7 linked regions of the Callithrix jacchus genome follow. The protein of the gene in region 3 interacts with the protein of the main gene of each other region in a biochemical or structural test. Links are inferred from orthologs where the notes say so. Each region holds a gene or a part of one and is shown on either strand. Other genes may lie near its edges.

Region 1 (3,500 bases), on a different chromosome or scaffold from region 3:
TATGTATGCATGGGGGAAAAGAGTAGAATGCACCAAAACATTAACTATGATTGCCTCTAGGGGACGAACTTTGGGTGATAAAAAGAAATTTTCTAATTTTCAGAATCTCTCAAAATTTCTGAAATAATTATGTATTACCTTCATTTATTTGTTTATTTATTTAATAATTAGAGGGGAGAAAGATACACACACACACACACATATGTTGAGAGAGAGAAGGAAAAAGAATGGATGAATGAATGATGGCAGGATTCTAGCAGACAGCTCCAAATGGCCTCCGATCTACCTCCGTCTTCCCATGTTCACCATCCTTCTCCACTTCGATTGCTGAGTGAAACCCACTCACTCTTCTCTCTAAATACTCTGCTAGAGAAAATGTTTTCTTTGCAGGTTGTGGAGGCTCACACCTGTAATCCCAGCACTTTCAGAGGCTGAATCGAAGCAAGGAGTTTGAGACCAGCCTGGGCAACATGGGAAGATCCTGTCTCTACAAAAAATTTAAAAATTGGCTGGGCATGGTGGCACATGCCTGTAGTCCCAGCTACTCAGGAGGCTGAGGTGGGAGGATCACTTGAGCCCAGGAGTTCAAGGCTGCAGTGAGCTGTGATCACATCACTGCACTCCAGCCTGGGTGACAGAGTGAGACTCTGTCTCTAAAAATAAAAAACAAGAAAAACAGAAAACAAAAAAAGAGAAAATGTTTTCTCCCTTGGAAATGAAACATCTCCTCCTTGGACGGGTGCTAAAGGAACATCCTACGTCACACTGACTTTCTTACCATAGCAGCCTCAGCTGCGCAAACCCCGATGGGCAGCCAATTCGTCTTGTTTTCAGTTTGCTTTTTTTTCTTTGCCTCTATTTTCCTCTTTCTTTTCTGTTTAAATAATCTTGACATCTGTACCATTTTTAGTAGGCTGCTCTTTGGTGATAGGCAGGGCTCGACATCAATAGAATAAGCAAAAAGAGCAAGGCGACACCTTTCATCTGGCATTCAAGTCCCTCGTATATTGGTTGCAATGGACCTTCTCAACCCATCAGTGACCTCATCCCAATTGTTTTTCTTCTTCTTCCTCTTCCTCCACTTCTCCGTCTTCTCCTTCTTCTCCTTCTTCTTCTTCGACAGAGTCTTGCTCTGTCACCCAGGCTGGGTGCAGTGGCGCAATCTTGGCTCACTGCAACCTCCGCCTCCCGGGTTCAAGTGATTCCCCTGCCTCAGCCTCCTAAGTAGCTGTTATTATAGGCATGCACCTCCATGCCTGCTAATTTTTGTATTTTTATAGAGATAGGGTTTCCCCATATTGGCCAGGCTGGTCTGGAACTCCTGGCCTCATGTGATCCACCTGCCTTGACCTCACAAAGTTCTGGGATTACAGGCATGAGCATTCAGCCGTCAATTGTTCCCTAAAGAAAATAAATGTTCCTGCCTCTGCGCCTTTGTTATTCTCACTGCTAGGTAAGCTCTCTATCTCCATTGTGTCACCTTCTCCATGCCGTCAAGACCCACCTTAAAATACAAATACTGCCCCCCTGGGAAGCTAGGTAGAGGTGGGCTCTCCCTCTGTTGAGCTCTGACTGCACTTTCAGCCTCTCTGATGTCACTGCTCACTTTCTGCCTTATGTTAGTTATCTGGGTACAAGTCAACCTCTCCCCAACACGGGGAGCTCTCTCAGAACAGGGACTATGGCAGACTCCCCTTCATTGTCCTTGGCACCCATCATGGGGCTTGGCACACACTAAGTGCTAAGTGTTGACTGACTGGCTGGTTGTTTGTTCAAGTGATAAATGAATGCATGAATAGAGGAAAAGGTACCCAAAATAATTAAATGAGTCCTCAGGGGGGCATAAATAAGAGAGGGAAAGAGGGAGTGAGGAAAGGACAAGTGAATGACTGAATGAATGAATCAGAGTAAGCGTTCTAAGAGTCAGGACTTTATCGTGTTCACTGCTTGAACCCCAGGACCTAGAAACCTGGTACACAGTGGAAGTGCAGTAAATACTCAGTACAGTGGGCAAATGACGAATTGAGAGAATTAATAAGTGAATATCCTAGGAACATCCAGCCAGGGCAGAAAGTGACAGCAACACAAAGTAAGTTCCAAGGAACAGATGGGATATCCTGCATCCTTCCCCACCTTACCCCCCAGTTTCCCTTCCCAGGTGAAGGGCAGGAAAAGCTGATAGGGAAGTCACCTCTCAGGTTCTTGATGAAGTCATCTAGTTTCATCTTTCGTTCAGCCTTGACGCTGGGACTGTACATGTCGGTATTGAGGAGGATGATGGCAAAAGCAAGGATGAAAATGGTGTCTGGGTTCCGGAACTGGCGCACGAGGGCTGGGTTACAGACACAGTACCGCTGGCTATAGGGCAGGAGGGGTCAAAGCCAGATTCAGGAACCAGCCATCTCTGCCTACCCACCATCCACCCAGTCTGGCACCACCAACTCTTTCCTGTAAGCAATACTTCCTCGATCTCTGGGTCTGTCCTCTTCAGAGTTTCCCCTAGACCAGCATGTAAAACTCACAATTGCCACCTTTTGCAGAGCTCTTCCAGGGGGTTTATGTACATTGTTTCATGTAATCCTATCATAATCCTGAAAGGAAGCTACTGGCAGTCCCAATTTACAGATGAAGTGACTGAGGCTCAAAGTGGTGAGGTAACTTGCCCAAGGTAATAGAGCTGGTATATGGTGAAGCCGGGATGAAAACCCAGATATTTCTGAATGCAAAGCAAATCCTTCTCCCATTATGAGAAACAAGTGCTCAGCAACTCCTGTTTCTCTTCTAAATACACTAAAGTGGCGGAGCCAGGATTTAGACCCTGGTCTATCTGATCTCCAAAGCCTTTACGGCAGAGTAAAATGGTTAAGGGTAGACTCAGACACATACAAGTTCAAATCCTGTATGACTCTGGGCAAGTTACTTAACCTCTCTAAACTCCTGATTTCTCTTTTTTTTTTTTCTTTTTTTAAGTTTCTTTTTGTTTTAAACTCCTGATTTCTCATCTGTAAAATGAGAATAACAATCGAAGCGCCTACCTTATGAGATGGTTGTGACGATTCGGTGAAATAATCACGTTAACGTGCTCAGCTCAGAGCACCTGATACCTAGTAAGCACTCCGTGAATGTTAGCTACTATTGCTGATGTTGTTGTTACTTATTGAATGCCCCTGTCCTGGGGCTGAGCTAGATACCTTACGTGCACTACCTCTGATCCTCATAATTGCCTTGTAAGATAGGATTTATCATTTCTGTTTTATGGTCAAGAAAGTATGTGGCTCAGAGAAGTGACTTGTAAATAGTACATCGATGCCCACAGGAGGGAGGGGCAGCTTTGTGAGTGGGAGGCAGGCACACCTGAAGGCTTCGATGAGTCGCTCCACTTTCTGGGCCTCACCCTGAACCCGAATATGGGACTGGAACTTCCGGAGTGCATCATCCAGATCCATGGAGGAGAAGTCCATCTCATCCACCACACAGCTAAGGAGCAGAGAAGGGGGTGT
Region 2 (3,979 bases), on a different chromosome or scaffold from region 3:
AGACATAGCCATCTTTCTGCTATTTGGCAACCAAGCACGTTGGAAGGAATGGCCACTGTTTTCACTTCATTCCTGTCATTCATTCACTCTCACCCATTAAACAAATATTAAGTACCCACCATGTGCCTGAAATAAGAAAAAAAAAAACACGACCTCTGCCCTCATGCAAATTAGTGTAACGACAAAACAGAAAATAAACATAAACACATAAAAAAATATATGTATATATACAAAATTTGGTAAGTGCAGAAGTAGCTGGGAAAACAACAGGGGCAATGGTATAAATGAGGGGACAGAGAAGGCCTTTCTGAGGCAGTGACAAGTCAGACGGTCAAGAAGGAACGAGAGAGAAGGTTCCTGAGGCTGTCAAACTTTGAATGTGGCCGAATAAATCATAAGGGAGAAAGTGATAGCGGAAAAACTAGGCTGAAGAGGTAGGGCAGTAAGTAGTCCAGTGTCTTGTAAGCCAAGGATTTTGAGTTTTATTCTATGTACTGCTGGAAACCAATATTTTTCTTGTCGTGTAAATTGAGTTTATTTTTCATAGATAGTTTTCAAGATTCAAAGCATACAAGTACCAAAAATAATTATATGAAAACTCTCCCTCATTCCAGTTTCCTAGCCACCCAGTTTCCCTCCTCACAGCTACTAGGCGTCTTTCCTACGGAAAGACTTTAGGCACAAACAAGCACATCACTCTGTTTATATTATAATGTATTTTCAGCAGTGGAGCAGCCCATCAGATAAGACCACCTGAATGCTGAAAGGGCGTGACTCTGCGTTTGAGCTCCGCACTGCTGCCCACGCATCTCACAAATTCTGCTCCGCCGCGTTCTCGGTTTTAACACGGGAACTCTAGGGTTCAGGGCTTCGTAAACTCCTTTTCGGCAGGGCTCCATAGCTTGTTCTCAAGTTGTGTCCCCCAGCAACGACCCCGCGCGCCTGCACTCCCGCGCCGCCGCCACCACCAGTCCGCAACTTCTAGCCGCAAACGCTGGAGCTCAGAACCCAGCTCAGGTGCGCTAGTTTGTTTCCCTGGGAGACTGGGGCCGACCGTAGGCACGCGGGGGCGGGAAGACAGCTTGTCTTGGCTGCCACTGAGGCGGATCTGGGCGGGGCCGAAGCGGGGGCGGGGCCAAGTGTGGGGGCGTAGTCAGGCGTGGGGGCGGGGCCGGCGCCGTCGTCGGCGGCAGAGCTCTCCCGAACTCTCGCGGCCGCACTTAGGTCCCGGACCCGGGCCACCCACGGGGCAGTGGGTGCTCCTTGGCCCCGGACATTGCAAGCCCCAGAAGGTAAATTTGCCTGGGAGCCGAGCACCTGGAACACGAGGGTACCCACGATGAGGGCGGGCGGCTGGATGGCGACAGAAGGGAGCGTCCCGCGGTCGCGAGAAAGCTGAACTCGTCCCAAGTTTCTTGTGCCTCGGCTTGCACCCAGTGAATTGGTGGCGGGCTCGTTTGGTGCGGGTGGTCTTTTGGGGCGGGAGGGACGCGAAGGTGATTGGATTAATTCTCCTGGGCCGCAGCCCAGATTTCTGACCGGGAACGCGCACCGCTGTGGTGCAGTTTTTGCCCGAGAAAGGGCGGGTTAAAGTGCGGTGCAGTGGAGTCCTGCGCTCCAGCAGGGGGACCGCCGGATTCGAAGCGCACGAGTCTGCCAGGCGTGCCGGGCTGTCGGGAGGCACAGTACCGTAACTTTTTTCCTCTTTAGGCAAGACTAACTTGGCGTTGCTCCTCCCGGGGCTGACCTCGAGGCCCGGCTATGGACCGCGAGAGCGAGGTGGATTTTTCTAGCAACAGCATAACGCCTTTGTGGCGGAGGCGGTCGATCCCTCAGCCCCAGCTGCTGGGCCGGAGCAAGCCGAGGCCCCAGTCCTATCAGAGCCCCAACGGGTTGCTGATCACGGATTTCCCAGTGGAGGACCGAGGGACGCTCCCCGCAGCGCAGATTCCCGCCCAGGTGCCCACCGCTTCGGACAGCAGGACGGTGCGCAGGAGTCCCCTGCTTCTGGGCACCCAGCAGAGAGCGGTGGCCAATGGTGGGATGGCCTCCCCGGAGTACAGGGCTGCCTCTCCTCGACTTCGACGACCCAAGTCACCCCAGGCCCCTAAAGCGGTGCCGGGCGGCTCCCCGAAGTCCCCAGCAAACGGCGTGGTGACCTCCCCTGCGCCGCCGCCGGGGCTGCGCCCCCCGCGGACTCCTAACGCGCCCGTCCCCTGCACCCCCGAGGAGGACCCGACTGGGTTGACTGCCAGCCCGGTGCCTTCGCCCACTGCAAATGGCCTTGCCGCTAATAACGACTCTCCTGGCTCGGGTTCGCAGTGTGGCCAGAAGGCTAAGGATCCCGAAAGGGGGCTCTCTCCTGCGCCCCAGAAAAGTTCTTCGGAACATAAACTCCCCCTCCAAAGGCTGCCCTCCCAGGAGAACGAGCTCCCCGAGAATCCTTCCGTGGTTTTGAGTACAAACAGCCCCGCCGCTCTCAAGGTGGGGAAGCAGCAGATCATTCCGAAGAGTCTGGCTTCAGAAATTAAACTCAGTAAATCCAACAGTCAGAATGTGGAGCCCCACAAGAGGCTGCTTAAGGTGCGCAGCATGGTGGAGGGCCTAGGAGGACCCCTGGGTCACGCAGGGGAGGAGAGTGAGGTCGATAACGACGTGGATAGCCCAGGGTCTCTGCGGAGAGGCTTGCGGTCCACGTCTTATCGCAGGGCAGTGGTCAGTGGCTTTGATTTTGACAGTCCTACCAGCTCGAAGAAGAAGAACAGAATGTCCCAGCCTGTTCTGAAAGCAGTAATGGAAGACAAGGAGAAGTTTTCGAGTCTGGGAAGGATAAAGGTAAAAGTGGGCAGGAGTGTGGGATGCCATTCACTAAACGAAAAGTAGATATGTTGGGGGTGGGGAGGGGGAGCATAGAGGAAACCAGAAGTCATTCCCTTATAATTCTGTGTTTTGCTGTTGATTACTAGTGCACATCCAGCTCTTTCTTGGCCACTTTGATGCTGGCAGGCACAGCAGAGTTTAATGCAACTCTGTGGGAAGAAGTGAAATTCATCACTTTTAACTTTCTAAGCTCAGGCAAAATTGGGGGGACAAAAAGGAAATATTTATGGCAGATTATTGGCTGAGTCTTGACCATAAAAGAGATAGCTGAAAGGGGGAGGAGCATGCTTAGAACTGCACTGGACTGCCTCAAGTTGTCTAGTGTTTGCTTAGAGGTTTCAGCCAATGGTAGCTGTTATCACAGCTGATTCAGAAAAATACTGATTCCTGTTTGAGCCTGTTATTTTCTGCTTTTACTTACTGAATTGTTTTTTGAGTGGTTATTACACACTTGAAGTCATTCAGGTAAAATGCGAGTCTTAAAATCAATTGCCAGGATCATAAAAAACACATATATTTTGTTATCCCTTTGCTTGCTTGTTTTTGTCACCAGGCCTTTGGTTGTATGTTAGTCCCGTTGTAGGCTCATTCATCCTTGAGTGCATTAACAAGTTGGTAGCTGAAAACGTCAGGTTAGGGTGACACTGTGTGGTATTGGTCACCTATATTGTCCCGTTAGCTGCACTTACCAAAATATTGCCAAGTATGACAAAGAAATAGGAAAACTTAAGAGGGAAATTTTGGAGTGCGTGCTGCCGTCCACAGAAACAAGACAGAGCTCAGCAATAGGGCAGAAATCTTTTTGGCAGCCACCTATTTTCTTGATTAATCAGAACACTGGAACTAGACTATATAAATGTCACATATGTAATATACAAGCAAGCCTGTTTTATTTTAGAGCCTATGGTCTTAAAGAAAAAAATTACATAACATTTTAAGTGTTTTTTTCCAACTCTGCAAGTATAACAAAGTTCAATTTAACAGTGATGGTGAATCACAAGTAGTAAAATGAACTGACCTGCTAGTCATTTGAGGATTCTCAATCTGTTTTGACAGGGTGTGAGGGATCTTGAACATTTTATTTCACTATTTCAATGAA
Region 3 (4,293 bases):
CTTCATTTCTCTCGCTGAATGAATGTGGAAGACTTTCTAAGGCAGGTCTTGACCTTTCTGGACACATCAGGACATGAGAGTCACAGAACCAGATGAATGCAGTAAATTATAAGCAAACCCGGAAATGCAAAAATATCAGACTAATCAGAATCTCTAATGAATTACTATTTTTTAAAATTCTTTTTAAATTATCGGAAGAACAACACACACATACACTTATATCAGAGGAAATTTAGTAAGTTACTTGTTTTCAAGGAAACTTCCGACGTCAGTACACATTCGTTTATAACGCCCTTATCTTCCTTATCTATAGCCCTGTTCAATAGCAACTGGCACTCAGAATAAGAAATTTGAGACACCACATGATATTACATTTCCCAAGAAAATAATAATGTCTCCTCATTACCAAGGCAATAAATCCTTCTACACCATTTTAGAATATTTATCAGAATAAAGAGTTGAAACAAAAAATGTTTACTGAAAAACTATCCCTTAGCCAAGAGAGGTCTCCCCTAGGCACCATGATGAATTTTGTAAACTTGTATTGAAGAGTTACAAATTTTAGGACCAAGTTAATCATCTAAGTGACTGAGGTCTATAAATCATCCCCCACAACTGAAAAAAAGTTTTCCCTAAATTGTGGTGCTTTAGAAAATGGTGCAAAAGTGAAACTTAGACCACTGTCAAGAGGTTTAATTCCACATGAATTATTATTATTATTATTATTTTTTGAGACAGAGTCTCACTCTGTCACCCAGGCTGGAGTTTAGTGGCAGATCTTGGCTCACTGCAACCTCCGCCTCCTAGGTTCAAGTGATTCTCCTGCCTCTGGAATAGCTGGGATTACAGGCATGTGCCACCACACCTGGCTAATTTTTGTATTTTTAGTAGAGATGATGTTTCGCCATGTTGTCCAGGCTGGTCTCGAACTCCTGATCTGAAGTCATCCGCCTGCCTTGGCCTCCCAAAGTGCTGAGATTATGGACATAAGCCACTGTACCCAGGCTAATTCCACTTGAAATATCAGCTACAATTCGATTAGCTTGTGGGCTCCAAAAATGATTTAAAATTTTAAAGTACAGGCTCAGGCCGGGCATGGTGACTCATGCCTATAATCCTAGTACACTGGGAGGCTGAGGTGAGTGGATCACATGAGGTCAGGAGTTCAAGACCAGTCTGGCCAACATAGTGAAATCCATTCTCTACTAAAAACACAAACATTAGCTAGGCATGGTGGTGCATGCCTGTAGTCCCAGATATTCTGGAGGCTGAAGCAGGAGAATCGCTTGAACCCAGGAGGCAGAGGTCGCAGTGAGCTGAGATCCACCAGTGCACTCCAGCTTGGGTGACAAAGTGAGACCCTCTCTCAACAGCAGCAACAAAAAAAGTACAGGTTCTGCAAAAGCAACCAAATGGCTGTTGTACACATCCTCCAGGAGACGTTGAACCAGAAACCAAAACCAAGAGTGTGACCCTTTAAGTACTTTGAAGGTGACAAAAGTACAACCACTCTCTTCTCTCTATTCACACATCCAGATTCTGTCATGTACATCTTGCTCAGACACAGCTGGAACCAGAGCTGGATGTGACCTGTCCCTCTTTTGAATGCTGAGGTGGGCAAGCATTGGCATGCGACTCCAGCATAGTTGTTCATTCCCTGGTCAGGGTCTGGCCCTTTTTCTAGTGACCTGTATTGTATTCTACTCTGTAATGTAATGATTTATCTACATATTTTATCTCACCTAATAGATTATGAATTTTTGAATGCAAGGACCATGCCTTTGTATCTTCTTTGAAGTAATGCAAAGGAAAACTCACTGTAAATTATGAAATACTTTCATAGGTCTAACTTTCTTCTTTGTAAAATTATTTGCATCTATTAGCACCTAACACATTGCAGATGCCCAATAAAGATATGTCAACTGACATTGAAATCAACAAACATCTCCAATTATTCCCCTCCTGTCACCAGAATCCCACACGGTATCTAGTAGAGTTCAGCCCAGCAAAGAGATCAACTGTCTAAAGGACATTTGTTGGAATAGAGCCCAGCAAGCTGACCTGCCATCCTCAGTTCTCTGCCCATCAAGCACAAATACCGCCATCGCCTCTTTCATTTCATACTCTAGTATTTGGTTGCACACTGTGGTGTCCTGGCAAGCTATCCAGGAGAGCTCCCTCAGGGAAATGTGGATGCCTGACCCTGCACTAAAAAAGTATTTCGGGACTGGCAAGTGGAGGGGTTGCCACAAACCATCCCCACCATTTGGATGTCCGAAAAGTAAGCATCAGCACAACTCTTCTCCCCCAGGTAGCAAGGGAAACAAAACCCATGAAACCAAAGCGGGCAGCTGATTCGGAGGACGGAGCAGGGCTTCTGTTTTTGCCTCGCTATGTCAAACACACAGGAATAAATGCAATAGAAAGACGTTTTGCTTCCCAAATGGAAACTTTGCAAGTCTTTCTAAACTGTTTTTTATCAACTAATCTGTCTTTGAACGATGTTACCTTAAAAAAAAAAATAAGCTTGTTTCAGTAACGTGGAAAAACTAAATAAATCACTTTCTCACTAGGAAATACTTCTCCTGTTTTAAAAACCAAATTCAGGAATTTGACTTTAAGAAAGAAAAAAATGAAATTTCCTAATGGCCATTTTCTGAAATGAATTAATATCTAGAGGCCCACTGGCCACCTGCTCGGAGCCAGTCAGCATTCTTACCCAATCACAGGTGAAGTCAGAAGCACTCGGAGTTTATGATGTACTGGCAATGCTTCGTTTAGAACATTTACCAACTGCTGTATTTTTTTCCACAGAGTCTCACTATTTTGTTATAAAGACTAGAAGAACAGGCCCTTGTTCTCAGGCAAGAAAACACAGAAGCGTCATTTGTTTATTATTTTTAACTACTGTGCATTTTGTGTGCTTTATAGCTTCTTCAATGATTGTTCAATTGTGAGTATATTGGCATGTGATTTGAGGTCAGCTGTTTGCTCCCTGGCTGGTACAACCAATCTATAATCTTGATAGGGAGAAATAAAGTCCAAGCTGCAAATTCTAGGCTGCCAACTAATACTCTCCCTCTCTTCAAATCTGTGTCTATCATGAAAAACATTCTCAAACTGTTTACATTTCACTGAATATTACTTAGAATATATTTTTAAAGGCATCTTTCCTCTTCTTCATTGCTTTAAAAAATGTAGACAGGCAGGCCGGACATGGCGGCTCAAGCCTGTAATCCCAGCACTTTGGGAGGCCAAGGCAGGTGGATCAGGAGGTCAGGAGATCGAGATCATCCTGGCCAACATGGCGAAACCTCATCTGTACTAAAAATATAAAAAAGAAAAAAAATAGCTGGGCATGGTGGTGTGTGCCTGTAGTCCTAGCTACTCAGAAGGCTGAGGCAGGAAATTTGCTTGAACCTGGGAGGCAGAGATTGCAGCGAGCTGAGATCGTGTCACTGCACTGCAGCCTGGCTGGCGACAGAGTGAGACTCTGCCCCTCTCCAAAAAAAAAAAAAAATGCAGAGAGGCAAACAAAAGAAAATGGTCACCAATTCTACCACCCAAAGGTAATCACAATTAATTATATATATTATATATGGAAGATTTGGTGCAAAATCTTCCAGGCTGTTGGAAAGAGGTTTTGTTTGTTTGTTTTATTGCAGGGTTTTCGTTAATAAGCACCAAAAAAAAAAAACTGAAAATAAGTTTTGCTAGAGTTTTAAAGTGATGCTATCTTCTAAAAAAATTTTTGCTAACTAAAACCACATAAATAAGATTTTCTTTCATTGAATGTTTTTCGTTTGCCACCAGTATACATACAGCTCAAGTGGGCCATCAGTCTAGGGGGTGATGGGCATTTTTAAGAAAAATACATGAACTTCTGCTGTTCCAAAGTCCAATACAAGAGTAATCACAAGACTGCTTTAACCGATTCCATTTGTTTCATTTCCTTCACCTCCCAGATCATCCTCCACCCCACTCCAGGTCTTTTTTAAATTTTTAAATTAATCAATTATTTGAGATGGAGTCTCACCCTGCCACTGGGCTGGAGTACAGTGGCACCATCTCGGCTCACTGCAACCTCCAACTCCCTGGTTCAAGCTATTCTCTTGCCTCAGTCTCCCAAGTAGCTGGGATTACAGGTGCACACCACGATGCCCTGTTAATTTTTATATTTATAGTAGAGATGGGATTTCACCATGTTGGCCAGGATGGTCTCGATTTCCTGACCTCGTGATCCGCCCATCTTGGCCTCCCAAAGTGCTGGAATTACAGGTGTGAGCCACCGTG
Region 4 (2,807 bases), on a different chromosome or scaffold from region 3:
GAGTCCATGGCCAGGTCTCTGTGTCTCAGTGGTCAGACTGGACTCAGCCCCTGTCAGGATGAACTGTGGGACTGGTGGTTGTAACACACCTAGGTCTTGCTCTCATGAGGGGCCTGCAGTCAGTTTCAGGTCCTTCCCGATGCCACGGCAAACCTGGACCACCTGGTCTCTCCTCTTCCTTTTTAATCCCACGGAGCAGTTGGAGTTTCCTAAAACAAGACTGTTTTCTGTCCTTCAGATAAGGATGTGCTCTAAGACCGCTCCTCATCATCTTTTCTCTGTAGATGGAAGAAAAAGTACTTTCTAAGTTATTCATAAAAGATGCTATAGTTTTTTAGTCAGGAAAAATAGACCAGAAGCATAACTCAGGCTTGAAAAGAGAATTGGCTCTGAAATCCTTATAATGTTAGAATGCCTTGAGTTCCAGGACATGACATTGATTCCTGGGTGATAAATTCGTTACATCTTACTAAGTAGGGGGATTTGGGCATCAGCAGGAAGATAGACATAATAACCATCACAATTTGAAATTAACGTGAGATCAAAGCTAAGACTAGACAAAAGGAAATGGAGAACAGGGTGCCCTGTGTGGGCACCCCTGTGTACCTGCCTTGCCCACTTACAGATGGACTTAGCCTTGGCTTGAGGAAGCCTTTTCCTCTAGAACCGTATTTGCTCACATATCTCTCCTAATTTTACTGTTCTTCTGCCTTGAGATTGTTGATTCCTTTAATATTACGACTTACAGCAGAGTTTCTAAAGTGTGACTATTGTTCACATAGCCACATACATCTTTTAAAATGGAGGGGTGGACTCAATCTTCATATCTGAAGTAAATGTTTTAAAAGATGGTTCTGTAATTATACAGTTATCCAAGGCCCAGAAACCCAATCCTCGACTAAATTAGTGATATACTAATACCCTATGTCAAAGAAAATACCGAAACCATCCTCTCATTTGGCATGCCCAGGTAACATGTCCCTCCACAGCTGAGCAGACAGCAGGGCCTCCAGTAATGAGGGGAGGTCGCTGGGGCCACTTGCCCTGAGAGCTCAGGCTCTCCTGAGGCACCTACTTCTCTAGAGGTCTTAGGACAGGAAACTCAGGAGCCCGCCTGAGAATGTAGCGTGCAATCCTTAGAGTCCAATGGTAAACACACAGTGTGCGCCAGAAACAGCTTTAACCATAAGCTGCAAATATTGAATTCTGCTTTAAAAATATGAAGCAGGAAGCCCACATTAATTTTCCTAACACGTGTCTTTTTTAAAAAAAAATGCTTTTATTTATTTGCCTTTTCATTTTGTCAACAGCATCAACAGCTGTATTATAGTCAAGATGACTCCAACAGAAAGAACTTTGATGCGTACAGATTGTATTTGCAGTCTCCTCATAGCTATGAAGACCCTTATTTTGATGACCGAGTTCACTTTCCAGCTTCTGCTGATTACTCAACACAGTATGGACTGAAATCAACCACAAATTATGTAGACTTTTATTCCACTAAACGACCTTCTTACAGAGCAGAACAGTACCCGGGGTCCCCGGACTCATGGGTGTAGCATCAAGACGCCCGACAGAGGAACTTTTTCTTTCTAACCTTGTTTGGATTGAGGTGAAGTCCGTCTTGCTGATTTGATGATTGAAATATGAAAGTGAAGTGGAAGGAATGAGTGAAGTGCATTTTTTTTCTTTTTTGAGGAATTATCAGGGAAGTGAGGAAATGTTTGGGAGAGGACTTTCTAAGCTCTATTTAGTTGTTAGATCTAATTACTTGTAGATTCTGTAGTCTGGTGAAGGTGTGGGTGACGTGATGAGAGGTTTGAGAAATGGGTGAAATGAAATGGGGGATGTGTAGGTCAAATCCAATTAAAGATGATTTTTTTAATGTGAATAAAGTTATGTTCTGATAGTTTGTACAGAAAAAATAAAATGGATGCCCATGTTTTATCGCTATTACTAAATGTCAAGATTGTATGCTATTATGTCTTGTAAATTTCTTTTGTTGGTGTAAATATGGAAATGCCACATTGGTTAAGTGCCATCATTTGTAATGCAGTGTGTCACTTGAAAAGAGAGTTGAAGAAACTGACAACTTCAAAAAGAAATGGGAAGCCCAAGGAACTGTGAGCAATTAAAATCAAACTGCGACGTCCTTTGTCTCCACCATGCATAGTGTACTTTGGAAGCACAACGTCCAGGCTGGTACCGCAGCGCCATGCCCATTCCTCGCCTCGTTCATAGGACACTTCACTGCCATTTTCTATGCACATGAAAGAAAAATAAATGTGGAAATTTCATCCTTGGAAATGTGTTCTCTATTCTTTTTAAATTTTCTGTATGTATATGGAAAAACAGATCTAGTAAACATAAATGTAACTGCATGTAGGAAACAACATACATATATCCAACTATTTTGGACTTTTCCTAGTTTTATACAGTTAATACACTCTGTGAGATGGACCACACCAAAGAATTAAGCTATGAACTTTCCTCCTCTTGTTTTTCTAGGTATTTTGTTTCTTGGAATCTATTTTGAACCTAGTGCACTTAACAGTTTTATTATGTTTTTCTCAGACCCGTATGTACATATCATCACTCTTCACCTAAGGCAAATTACATCTGGCAGCCTGGTCATAACTAAACTGATACTTTTTTGGGCATCATTTTTAAGAACTCAGTAACTTCATAAGAACAATGGTTGGGCATTTATTTGGTTGGCACCAATATAACAAACCAAAACAAATTCTAACTTATTTATCTTAATTCCATGAGTCAGTAATTCCTGGGTTAGGAATGGAGTAGGGGGA
Region 5 (4,058 bases), on a different chromosome or scaffold from region 3:
GTGTACTTGTGACACATGTTTACCCGTGCATCTAATGTCTTTGCTGATGTGTGCATGCCCCTCGGTGGGCATGCGTGGGATTGTACTTGTGGTGTGCACAAGTGGATGTAGAGAACTAGGAGAACCTGTGATCGTGTATGTGTGGGAGTGTGCTGAGGGGTCCTGGGTGTGGGGGCTTTTTCTCCCCCATCTCCTATCACCTGAGTGACCTTCTTCCCCAGCTGAGGACTGTGGCTGAGGTCACAGGCACGCATGGGACAGCTCCTGCCCTTCCATAGACCTGTGTCTTGGGCCAGAGTGGGCACCAGGGGCCAGGGTGGGTGGGTGAACCTGGGGCGAGGACTCATGTGCCACCCCCTCCCTGCCTGGTCTCCTCCCCTCCCCACAGCAGGAGCAGCAGCGGGAAAGGTTGGCGGAGGGGGGCTATTTTGGGAGCGTCTCCTTAGCAACAGCTGCCACGGCCGTCTGTGGCGGTTTTTCTATAGGTGCTAAAATATTCCACCCTGGTGACTACTGAGTGCTGGGGGGTGGGCGAGGGTGGAGGTGGAGGGCAGGAGAGACCCCTACAGTCCTCTGTCCCCAGGGCACAGCCTGCTGGGATGGATTCTGGCCCTCTGCCCTCCCAGTGACCCTTTAATTGCCTCTGGACCTTACCACCTGGGAGCTGCTGGGATTTTAGAGCTCCAAGGGTGTGTCCTGATCTGATTTCTAATCTAAGCAGTTGGACTTCCTCAGTTTGCCTCATCTGCAGAATGGGCTGGCTGGACTTTTTTCTTTTTTTGAGACAGAATCTTGCTCTGTAGCCCAGGCTGGAGCACAGTGGCAAGATCTTGGCACACTGCAACGTCCACCTCCTCCCAGATTCAAGTGATTCTCCTGCCTCAGCCTCTGAGTAGCTGGGATTACAGGTGTGCGCCACAATGTCTGGCTAATTTTTGTATTTTTAGTAGAGACAGGTTTTCACCATGTTAGCCAGGCTGGCCTCAAATTCCTGGCCGCAAGCGATAAGTGATCTGCCCACCTCCGCCTCCCAAAGTGCTGGGATTACAGGCATGAGCCACCACACCCAGCCCTGGCTGGACTTTAAGACACTCTCTAGGCCAAAAACCTCTGGACTCTGTGACTCTAGCATTTTGAAGTGGCCTTTTCCTTTTCCTCCTCAGCTGTCCACCTGCCAGTCCCAAGTCGCCCTCCCTTCCGCTCCTCTCCGCCCTCCACATGGGCTCTCAGGGCTGCTGTCGGACCCAGAAGGCATGAGAAGTCCCCCAGAGTGAGCTGGTTGGTGAGTACTCTGCTAGCCTGGAATGACCTTTCCCCTAGAAAGTGAGAGCTGAGCCTGGTTCAAATCCTGGCCCAGACAGCTGCTTACTGCCTGATTGACCCCAGACAAGCCCTTCCCCTCTCTGAGTGTTAGTTCAGGGTCCTCACCTGTGGGGTAAAGACACGCATAGCCCATACCCCATAGAGCTCTTGTGAGGATCAAGGGAGAGAACAGAGAGGAGATGGGCAGGACACATTGCCAAAGTGTATGGACGGACAGAGGCTTCACCAGCATTCCCCTCTAAACTTCAGAGTGAGCCTCTCTTCTCCAGACCATTGCTTCCAGCCACCCCAATCATGCCACCCATCCCATGACTCCCCATGCCTCAGTTACCCCATTGGTAGTAGGTGCCTGTAGCACAGCATTCTTGCAAGAATGAAAGGAGACAATGCCTGTCAATGTCTGGATAGTGCTGAGCTGGGGGCATGAGAGAGGGAGATTCAGGTTGTCCTCACTCCATGGCGGGGAGACGAATCTGTGCTGGATCTTGACAAGGCCCATTGGGAGACCCAGTCCACACTGTCCCATTACAGATGAGGCCTCTGAGGTCCAGAGAGGACATGAATCTTTCCCAGGGACACACAGGTTCTGACATCCATGCCTTTCCCCAACCCCCTCACATTCCTCCCAGGCCTCTGCATGCCCATTTCCATCTCCACCCCCCACCTCACACAGGGCTAGAAGCTACTCTCACATAAGGTGAACAATGTGGAGTCTTCCTTTAGTCTCTGATTATCCTCAAAACAGCTGCTCCACCAGGTCCAGTGGCTCACACCTGTAATCCTAGCACTTTGGGAGGCCAAAGGCAGGCGGATTGCTTGAGCTCAAGAGTTTGAGACCAGCCTGGACAACATAACAAAACCCCATCTCTACAAAAATTTGCTGGGCATGGTGGCGCACATCTGTGGTCCCAGCTACTCGGGAGGCTGAGGTGGGAGGATGGTTTAAGCCGGGGAGGCGGAGGTTGCAGTGAGCAGAGATGGCAGCACTGCACTCCAACCTGGGTGACAGAGCCAGACCCTATCTAAAAACCAAACTAAAAACAAACACACACAGATATTCAAAATAGGTGTTATGTTTTCCACTTGACATATGAGGAAACAAAGGCCGAGAAAGGAGAGGTGGGCTGCCCAGGGTCACGCAGGGCGGGAGAGGAGAGAAAGGACTCTTTCCTGGGGTCTCTGAACCTCTCCCTGCCTGGAGCTCCTCTGGTTGCCTCTCCCCACCTCCTCCCAATCCAGTCTTCTTGCAGGATGAGCAGCTGCCTCAGGGCACAGCCCAGGCCTGGAAAGGTGACCCTCCTTGCCCCAGAGCCCCCATCCCATCTTCAACTTTGTGCCTAGGGACCTGGCATCAGGGGGCTGATCCTGTGAGAGAAGATGCTTTGGATCTACAGACATCCCTGTATCCATGTTCCCCTCCTTTCTGCTCCTTCCTCCACCCCCTGCACCCCACACTCCCAGGACAGCTACCAGGTCAGGCCTGTGGCCAAGCAGGTCATTTGTCTCACCTTCATCCTCCCACTTTCAATCCATGCAAAAGGGTGAGAAAGACCAGGCACACATCTGTTGCCGACTGGGCACTCAGGCTGCTTGAATCTCTCCTGCATCCACGCACTGAGCGTTCATGTGATGGAACATCAGTCCTAGCTGTCTGCCTGTGAGGACACAGCAGAGTAACCAGGGAGAGGCGTGGAACAGGACGTGCGCTGTGGAGGTCCGCACAGAAAGATCCCTGAGAAAGGACGGTCACATGTATTGAGCGCCTACCATGAACTGCTCATTTTGTGGGCATCCACCTCATTTAATCTGCCTCTGGGGAATGGGGGACGTCAGGGTCCTCAATCTACAGACAGGCTAAATTAAAAACATGTTCAAGGTCAAGTAGCTCTCAGGTGCTTTTGAGCCTAGTTTAGCCTGACTCCTCAGCCCACTAAGCAAGAACCATACTTGTGCCCAGCCCAGGGGCTCGTACGTCGTGGGTGCCTAGCGCTGGCTGAATGAACGAGTGGGTAATGAATGACTTCTGCTGGGGTCATCAAGTGGCTTTCTCAAGGAAGTGGCACTGAGGCCGGGCTTGGGAAACAGCAAGGAGTCTCAGGGCAAAGAAGGTGCTAGGCGCATTTCAGGCAGGGGGGAACAGTGAGTGCAGGCAGAGAGGTGCAGAGGCCTGTGGCGTGTTCTGGAATCTGTGGAATCAGGGTGTACCTGTTGGTTTATGGGATGTCGGATGCCGGCTAAGGTGGGACCTGGCTATACCACACTGAGGAGCTGGGACTGGATCCTTTTGTGTAGGGCGAGCCCACAAGGAAGAGAAACACTTACGGTGGTTTGTGTGTTGCTGTTCTTATGCTGACATCCTTGGGGCTCAGAAGAGTCAGAGGGATTTCAGATTTCATAGGTTCTCCACCTGGCTTTGGGGTGCCTCAGTCTCTTCCTCTCTGCACTGGGTCTAGTCAGTGATAGCCAGACTCCCAGGGAAGTTCTTCTGGCTGTCTAACTGCAGGTGTTCTCTCCTCTCACTACCCTCGAGGCAGGAGCACTTTCCCTCCGGTCTCCTCAGAGGGCTAGAGTGAAGTGGCAGGATGGCCAGGAAGTAGCTGGCTCAACCCGAGCCGTGGGCGCTGGGGGTTCCCTGACAACCCAGAGTGTGGGGCCCAGGCCTGACAGCTCAGGGTTATGGAGAACGACGGAGAACAGGAGACTAGGGTTTGGTCCGGCTCTGTCATCTCTGGGTG
Region 6 (4,088 bases), on a different chromosome or scaffold from region 3:
AATTAAATGTTGTTTCAAGCTTTTTGCCCCCTAAAGATGAGAATGATAATATAATATGTGTAGACTGTGAGTTCCGTGAGTTCTAATTGAGATAAATAAAATATTAGAAATAGGATCCCAGGCCCAGGAAGAACCTTGTCTTCAGAGGAGCAACCTTGGTCCCAGCCCCTCTCCACAGCTGCATGAAGAAGCTGCACAGAAAACCCTCACCCTCACCCCCAGTTCTGGAGTGTGAAGGTAAGATCTACATCGTCCTGGTGATAGTCATTGTTGGAGAACTCTGGGACATGCAGGAAATAGATCCAGGGCCTCTTCCTTTTTATTGACACAGCAGCAGCAGTTTGGAGCTTTCCAGGAAGACCTACTTTTTATTTCCCCCAAGTTTCAATATTTGGGGCACTTGTGGGAACTAGAGATGGGGTGAGGTTTGGCTCTTGGCACTAGGCTAGAGTTGGGCTTGAAAGGGATGGGGAAGGGCGCTAGAATCAGTGGTCTTCAGAGTTGAAGGAGATCTTGGGTGAGGGGATAGCAAGAACCAGGGCCTGTCTTTCCCATGGCCATGGGGCAGCAGAAGGCACAAGGAGAACAGCGTATGTAGGGCTGTGTTGGAGATGGTTAGGGAGCTCTCCAGACCCTGCTCTGGGTTCCAGGCCTGGTGTGACAGTGACTAGCTGTGTGCCATGACCACGCTGCTCAACAAGTCTGTGCCTCTGTTTCTTCATGGGTGTCATGAAGGGACTGGACTCCCTGTTTGTTTAGGTCTGTTCAGTTCCAGCGAACGAACTACAAACAAGCAAAAAAACCAAGCCTGCCTTGTTTATTTTCAAGAAAGCATTTGCTAATTTCTTTCCAATACAGCCAGTTCCCTTATTTACCATTTTGTGCTCCTCTCAGGCCCCAAAATAGTGCTTTTTATTTTTAGAGATAAGCAAATAGTTCAGTTTGACTGGAGCATGGGAAGAAAGTGGGAAAGCAACTGATAGGAATAGAACTTGAAAGGAAATCTGGGGTTGGACTATGAAGGCCAAATTACTCCTAGACGTGGGCATAAGAACACATTGTCCTGGTGCCATTCTTTGACCAGAGAGAACTAGCCCCTTGGGACAGAAAAGGGCTGAATGAGGACCAGACACAGATTAGAGCTCTCCCTGATCCTCATCCAACCCCTTTCTTGACCCGAGGGGGCTGGGAGTCTGTGGGGCTAAGGGACACTTCCTTGTTTGTACTGTGCTCTGGATACTTGGGAAGTCCCCAGCCAAATGTCCTCAAATGCTATGAGCTGTTCCCTAGTTGCATCAGAGCATAAAGTTTGTATAGCCCTACGTCCTACAGGTGGCCAAGAGCAGCTGCTTTCAGGCATTGGGGACAAGGACATGAGGGCTAGAATTCCCCATGCCTAAGTGTGGAGCTCCTCATACGTGGGAGGGAGCTGGGAGTGGGAAGAGGACGAGGACAGCTGCAGGCTTTACCAGCTCTTCTGAGGTGGCCACATTCCAGCCCAGACCTCAAACACAAAGGAGTCTGAGAAGTGAGTACAAATGTATAGTATGGGGATCTGACAATTTAGAAATGAATATTTAATGCTACAAAAAAGTAGTGATGGTGGGCAGGGCATGGTGGCTCAGGCCTATAATCCTAGCACTTTGGAAGGGTGAGGTGGGCAGATTAAAAGGTCACGAGTTTGAGACCAGCCTGGCCAATATGGTGAAACCCCGTCTCTACTAAAAATACAAAAATTAGCTGGGCATGGTGGCGCGTGCCTGTAGTCCCCGCTACTCAGGAGGCTGAGGCAGGAGAACTGCTGGAACCCAGGAGGTGGAGGTTGCCGTGAGCTGAGATCGTGCCACTGCACTCCAGCCTGGGCAACAGAGCAAGACTCCATCTCGGGGGAAAAAAAAAAAAGAGTAGTGCTAGTGATAAGCTCTACAAAACAGACTACAGCAGAGTTAGGGGGAGTATATGTGTGGATAACTATTTTAGAAAGGGAGGCCAGTGAAGTCTTGTGGGAGGTAGTGGCCCTTAAGTAGAGAGTTAAGTGGAGTGAGGAAGACAGGGCAAAGGCATCTCAGCACAGGGACTTGGACCAGCAGCAGGGAAGGCCATGTGGCTAGGGTCATACATGCATAAGAAGGGCCAATCAGGTTGGGCTTTTGCAGATCATGGTAAAGATTTTTATTTTGAATAATGTGTGTGCTCCTTTTTACCAGCCATGAATGCTATCCATTTGTTTATGTGATTAACTCATCAAAGTTTATAAAAGTTATTTATTACTCTTTAAGGAAGAGAGGTGTTTATTTTGAGAATCGTGGGAAGTCACTGCAGGGTTTTTAAGCAAGGGAATGAACGATATGACCTGCTCTTTAAAAGCATCACTGTAGCGCAGTAGAGCAGTGAGAGTAGAAACAGGAAAGCAATTAGGGTGTTACTGTAGCGTTCTTTTTCCTTTTTCTTTTCTTTTGAGACAGAGTCTCACCCTGTCCCCCAGGCTAAAATGCAGTGGCACGATCTCGACTCATTGCGACCTCTGCCTCCCGGGTCTAGCAATTCTCCTGCCTCAGCCTCCCAAGTAGCTGTTATTACAGGCACCTGCCACCTTGCCCATCTAATTTTTGTATTTTTAGTAGAGATGAGATTTCACCATCTTGGTCAGCCTGGTCTCAAACTCCTGACCTCAGGTGATCCACGGACCTCAGCCTCCCAAAGTACTGGGATTACAGGCTGTGCCTGGCCCTCTTTTTCTTTTTTTTTTTTTTTGCTTTTAATATTGATGTCAGTATTTCTTTTTTTTTTTTTTTAATTTTTATTTATTTATTTATTTATTTTTTTTTAGGGAAAAAGAGAAAAAGAAGGGGAAAAAAAGAAAAAGAGGGAAAAAGGAATATTACTTCATTCCTAAAATGGGTTTCAATAATGGCCGATCAATATTTTGAGTGTTTAAAGTGGTTAATGCATATTTTATGTGTTTAAAATGGAGACCTCTGTTGTGTTTATTTGTTCTGGTTCTGAGTTCAAGTCCTGGATATCTTATCAATTTGTTGTCTCGTTGAATCTAAATCTCATTATGTGTCTTATGTATCTGGGTGTTAAGATCTCTTATTGTTGTATTAATCCTTTTACCCTTGCATCCTTGTAGCTTTGAAATCTATTTTATTAAGTGTGAGAATTGCAACTCCTGCTTTTTATTTATTTATTTTTGCTCTCCATTTGGTTGGTGAGCTTTTTTCCATCCCCTTGTTTTGAGTCTTTGTATATCTTTAGATATATCGTTAGATTTTGTGGATAATGAATATTTTGTGTGTTTAAAATGGAGAGCCCTATTGAGTTTATTTGTTCTGGATCTTAGTTCCAGTCCCGGATATCGTTATCAATTTTCTGTCTCGTTGAATCTAAATCTCATTATGGGTCTTATGTATCTGGGTGTTAAGATCTCTTATTATTACATTAATCCTTTTATCCTTGTATCCTTGTAGCTTTGAAATCTATTTTGTCAAATGTGAAAATTGCAACTCCTGCTTATTTATTTATTTTTGCTCTCCATTTGGTTGGTACGTTTTTTTTTTTTCCAACCCTTTATTTTGAGTCTATGTATATCTTTGGATATACCGTTAGATTTTGTCTGTATCTTTTGATTGGGAGGTTTGGTCGATTTAAATTTAGGGTTGCTGCCGTTTGATATTAACTGGCTATTTTGTCCTTTCATTGATAAAAATTCTTCTTTATGTTAATGCTCTTTACTTTTTGGTGTATTTTTAGAAAGGGTCATACTGGTTGTTCCTTTCTGTGTATAGTGCTTCTTTTAGAAGTTCTTGTAAAGCAGGCCTGGTGGTAATAAAATCTCTGAGTACTTGCTTGTTCCTAAAAATTTTTATTTTTCCTTCAAATGTAAAGCTTAAATTGGCAGGATATGAAATTCTGGGCTGAAAGTTCTGTTGATTAAGTATATTGAATATTGGCCCCCACTCTCTTCTAGCTTGTAGGGTTTCCGTTGAGAGATCTGCTGTAAGCCTAATAGGCTTACCTTTATGGGTAACTTGATCTTTCTCTCTGGCTGCCCTTAATATTTTCTCCTTCGTTTCGATCTTGGTGAA
Region 7 (3,500 bases), on a different chromosome or scaffold from region 3:
TAGCAGGATTGAGTACTGTCTTATCACCAGTGTAACTACTCACGTTAATCCAAAAATGCACGTGACTAAATAGTACAAACTATCAAATTTAGGCAAGCCACATGTAAGGTCACACTTATGATTCCCAACATGGTCAGGCTTTCACTGCTACTTCCCAAAAAGCCAGACAATTGGTGGTGGGGGGGCACTTTAAGATGCAGGGTTTTGTTGGTTGGATTAAGGGTAGAGAATTCCTGGTTGGAAGAATAGCTGAGTAGCTACTAGTTGGTTTCCTTTGGAAAGCCCACTCTGGATAACAGGGGGAATGTTTTAAGCTATAACCTGTCAGTCACCAATACTAAGTGCTTTTTGGTGGTGGAAAGGATTACAGGCTCACACCTGTAATCCCGGAACTCTGGGAGGCTGAGGCGGAAAGATTGCTTGATCCCAGGAGTTTGAGACCAACAGGGGCAACATAGTGAGATCTTGTCTCTATGTCACAAAAATTATTAAATAGGCTGGTTTGGGGACATAATAATAAAATTATTTTATTATTAATAAATTATTAAGTGGCTCACACCTGTAACTCCAGCACTTTGGGAGGCCGAGGCAGGTGGATCACCTGAGGTTAGGACACCAGTCTGGCCAACATGGTGAGGCCCTGTCTCTACTAAAAATATAAAAATTAGCCAGACGTGATGGCACCTGTAATCACAGCTACTCAGGAGGCTGAGACATGAAAATTGCTTGAACTCAGGAGGTTGCAGTAAGTCCAGATCAAGCTGCTGCGCTCAGCCTGGGTGACAGAACAAGAATCCATTTAAAAATAATGAATTAATGAATGAACAAATAAATAAATAAATAAATAAATAAATAAATAAAATTTCTTAAAAGGGTAGAAGATTCCTGACATTCTGAAAAAGGATTTAATGGGAGAAAGTGGGTGGGGGGTGGGGTGGGGAGGAACCCTTGGAATAAGGATGAGTTGGAAGAATAGCTTAGTAGCTGCTGGTTGGTTTCCTTTGGAAAGGCCACTCTGGATAATAGGGGAATGTTTTAAGCTATAACCTGTCAGCCACATAACCTGTTTTAAGTGCTTTTTGCTGGTGGTGGAAAGAACCCAGAATCAGAGTCACACTGAGCTGTTTAGGACACTCACGTTCATTTTCTTCGCCAGCTGGGCGATAAAAAGACAGGACCAGGGAGATGATGGCTGCAATCTCCAGGATGATGAGTGTGACATCTTGAAGGGCTTCCCACACTAATTCTAAGAAGGTCTTGGGCTTTTTGGGAGGGATCACGTTGTGTCCAAACACCTGCCTACGTTTCTCCAGATCTGCAGGGTTCCCTGATAGACCTGAAAAAGAGATAGGAGTGGATGAATACATGCAGAAAAAATGGAAAATGATAAAAGGCAGTTTTGAAGTGGCAATGAGCCATTACACTCTAGCCTGGGCAACAGAGACACTGTCTCAAAAATAAATAAAATAAATAAAAAGGCCAGGCATGGTGACTCACACCTGTAATTCTAGCACTTTGGGAGGCCAAGGTGGGTAGATCACTTAAGTTTAGGAGTTTGAGACCAGCCTGGGCAACATGGTGAAACCTTGTCTCCACAGAAGAGACAAAAATTAGCCAGGCATGGTGTGGTATACCTGTAGTCACAGCTACTCAGGGGGCTGAGGTGGGAGGATTGTTTTGAGCTCAGGAGATTGAGGCTGCAGCGAGCCGTGATCATGTCACTGCGTTCCAGCCTGAGCAGCAAAGTGAGACCTTATCTCAAAAATTAAATAATTTAATAAATAAATAGATAAAAAAGATCCCCTTCTTCGTGATTCACACAAGTATGAGATTCAGTTAGAGACAACCAATCTGCCCAGGACTCAGAGAAGGTGGAACTTTCAGTCTAAAATGGGCAAAATGAAACTGGTCTGCCATGGGACCACTCACTTATCTTAATAACAAGTATAAGCTGGATAAATTCTTAACCAGACATAAAATCTCATCTGCTACTGATTGAGTATGCTCCAGGCCCCAGCTCTGAGAACGTAAATATTAAAGTGGTTCTTGGGATTCACACAGAACTTTTATGTCACATTAACAGGTAAATGCTAGGGTGATTTAAATGCAGAGTGAGCTGCCATCCATTGGCTCACACACAAAGGCCAGGAAGAACAAGCTCCTTGCTCAAGGTCATGCAAGATGGAGACAGAGCATCATCACATCATCACACATGTCCTGATTCCAAGATCCAGGAGCTTTAGGAGAGCATCAGAGCAGTCTTTGAGACTATAACTTGTGGGCATCCCCTTTAAGCACATGTGCCCCTCCCTTTCTATCACACACATGTACACACCTGTGTGCGTATGTGCATGTGCATGTACACAAACATACACAGAGGCACAGACACATACCACTGAAAGGTACTACCATTCTATTAAGGACTAAGTAACTACTAAGAGAAGTATTACTACCCAGGTTGAATATACAGAGAATGAGAAGGCTGGCATGGTGGCTCACGCCTGTAATCCCAATACTTTGGAAGGCTGAGATGGGTGGTTCACGAGGTCAGGAGTTTGAGACCAGCCTGGCCAACATAGTGAAAACCCATCTCTATTAAAAATACAAAAAACATAGCTGGGTGTGGTGGTGGATGCTTGTAATCCCAGCTACTTGGGAGGCTGAGGCAGGAGAATGGCTTGAACCCGGGAGGCGGAGGTTGCAGTGAGCCGAGGTTGTGTCACTGCTTTCCAGCCTGGGCAACAGTGCAAGACTTCATCTCAAAAAAAATAAACAAAGAGAGAGAGAATAAGAAAGGTGAGGCCACAAAGTTTTCAGACACTACACAGTACTTGGTTACCAGCATCCTCCCACCAACATATGTATGCTTACATACCTTACATAAGTGTGTACATATACCTCGTACCACACACACCACATCCACACAGACACATACACACCACACACTTGGGAGGATGAGGTAGGAGAATGGCCACACACCACATACACAATATACAGACACAAACACACCAAACACAAACCACATACACAATACATACCACACAGATACATGACACATACACACACACACAGACCACATGCCACATACATACCACACATAACACAGACAACAAACATATACACACACATACTCTCTAGGCACTCTCCCAGAGGGCCAAGAGGTAGGCAGAATTATGCTCAGTGCTTTCCTTATATTTGGGTCCTTTCACGGGTGCCCAGGGGGCTACTCTTTAAGGGAAGAGGGGAAATCCTACTGTGGTGATTAATGAGTTGGTATTCACCAAGCTGTTCACACGCTGAAGCATATTAGTCCTGGTTTTGGCACTGGAAGTTGTTGGCGGCTGTTTGAAGGGTTTCCCACAGGCAGGGTGGGGCGACTTTTGTCTTGGAATAAGGTTAGCAACTGAGGAGGGTCAGAATCAGAGAAAGGGAAATTCAACCAAGCTCCACAGAGAGAATAAGGAGAAGTGGATGACGGGGCTGCAGGGACAAAATGGAGG

Evidence for each region.
Region 1: the proteins of DLG1 (region 3) and IQSEC2 interact in a test that uses a peptide from one of them, tested with the Homo sapiens proteins (2 studies listed by IntAct, with this or other methods). The link is inferred for Callithrix jacchus from reciprocal best matches to the Homo sapiens genes DLG1 and IQSEC2.
Region 2: the proteins of DLG1 (region 3) and ARHGEF26 interact in a test that uses a peptide from one of them, tested with the Homo sapiens proteins (2 studies listed by BioGRID and IntAct, with this or other methods). The link is inferred for Callithrix jacchus from reciprocal best matches to the Homo sapiens genes DLG1 and ARHGEF26.
Region 4: the proteins of DLG1 (region 3) and PKP4 interact in a test that uses a peptide from one of them, tested with the Homo sapiens proteins (2 studies listed by IntAct, with this or other methods). The link is inferred for Callithrix jacchus from reciprocal best matches to the Homo sapiens genes DLG1 and PKP4.
Region 5: the proteins of DLG1 (region 3) and KCNJ4 form a complex in vitro, tested with the Homo sapiens proteins (2 studies listed by BioGRID and IntAct, with this or other methods). The link is inferred for Callithrix jacchus from reciprocal best matches to the Homo sapiens genes DLG1 and KCNJ4.
Region 6: the proteins of DLG1 (region 3) and CYSLTR2 interact in a test that uses a peptide from one of them, tested with the Homo sapiens proteins (2 studies listed by IntAct, with this or other methods). The link is inferred for Callithrix jacchus from reciprocal best matches to the Homo sapiens genes DLG1 and CYSLTR2.
Region 7: the proteins of DLG1 (region 3) and ATP2B4 form a complex in vitro, tested with the Homo sapiens proteins (2 studies listed by BioGRID and IntAct, with this or other methods). The link is inferred for Callithrix jacchus from reciprocal best matches to the Homo sapiens genes DLG1 and ATP2B4.

What each region holds. Positions count from the first base shown.
Region 1 is NC_133524.1:53,587,831-53,591,330, forward strand, and holds part of IQSEC2 (IQ motif and SEC7 domain-containing protein 2), read right to left. Parts: intron 3,478-3,500; coding exon 3,355-3,477; intron 2,359-3,354; coding exon 2,192-2,358; intron 1-2,191. UniProt on the Homo sapiens protein: Is a guanine nucleotide exchange factor for the ARF GTP-binding proteins.
Region 2 is NC_133518.1:31,304,235-31,308,213, reverse strand, and holds the start of ARHGEF26 (rho guanine nucleotide exchange factor 26), read left to right. Parts: upstream 1-1,179; 5' UTR 1,180-1,761; coding exon 1,762-2,835; intron 2,836-3,979. UniProt on the Homo sapiens protein: Activates RhoG GTPase by promoting the exchange of GDP by GTP. Required for the formation of membrane ruffles during macropinocytosis. Required for the formation of cup-like structures during trans-endothelial migration of leukocytes.
Region 3 is NC_133516.1:24,798,814-24,803,106, reverse strand, and holds the start of DLG1 (disks large homolog 1), read right to left. Parts: upstream 2,801-4,293; 5' UTR 2,720-2,800; intron 1-2,719. UniProt on the Homo sapiens protein: Essential multidomain scaffolding protein required for normal development. Recruits channels, receptors and signaling molecules to discrete plasma membrane domains in polarized cells.
Region 4 is NC_133507.1:71,213,881-71,216,687, reverse strand, and holds the end of PKP4 (plakophilin-4), read left to right. Parts: intron 1-1,310; coding exon 1,311-1,559; 3' UTR 1,560-2,307; downstream 2,308-2,807. UniProt on the Homo sapiens protein: Plays a role as a regulator of Rho activity during cytokinesis. May play a role in junctional plaques.
Region 5 is NC_133502.1:209,372,827-209,376,884, reverse strand, and holds the start of KCNJ4 (inward rectifier potassium channel 4), read left to right. Parts: upstream 1-1,258; 5' UTR 1,259-1,282; intron 1,283-2,831; exon of another isoform or gene 2,832-2,959; intron 2,960-4,058. UniProt on the Homo sapiens protein: Inward rectifier potassium channels are characterized by a greater tendency to allow potassium to flow into the cell rather than out of it.
Region 6 is NC_133502.1:67,304,573-67,308,660, reverse strand, and holds the start of CYSLTR2 (cysteinyl leukotriene receptor 2), read left to right. Parts: upstream 1-1,288; 5' UTR 1,289-1,528; intron 1,529-4,088. UniProt on the Homo sapiens protein: Receptor for cysteinyl leukotrienes. The response is mediated via a G-protein that activates a phosphatidylinositol-calcium second messenger system.
Region 7 is NC_133520.1:30,765,861-30,769,360, reverse strand, and holds part of ATP2B4 (plasma membrane calcium-transporting ATPase 4), read right to left. Parts: intron 1,337-3,500; coding exon 1,139-1,336; intron 1-1,138. UniProt on the Homo sapiens protein: Calcium/calmodulin-regulated and magnesium-dependent enzyme that catalyzes the hydrolysis of ATP coupled with the transport of calcium out of the cell. By regulating sperm cell calcium homeostasis, may play a role in sperm motility.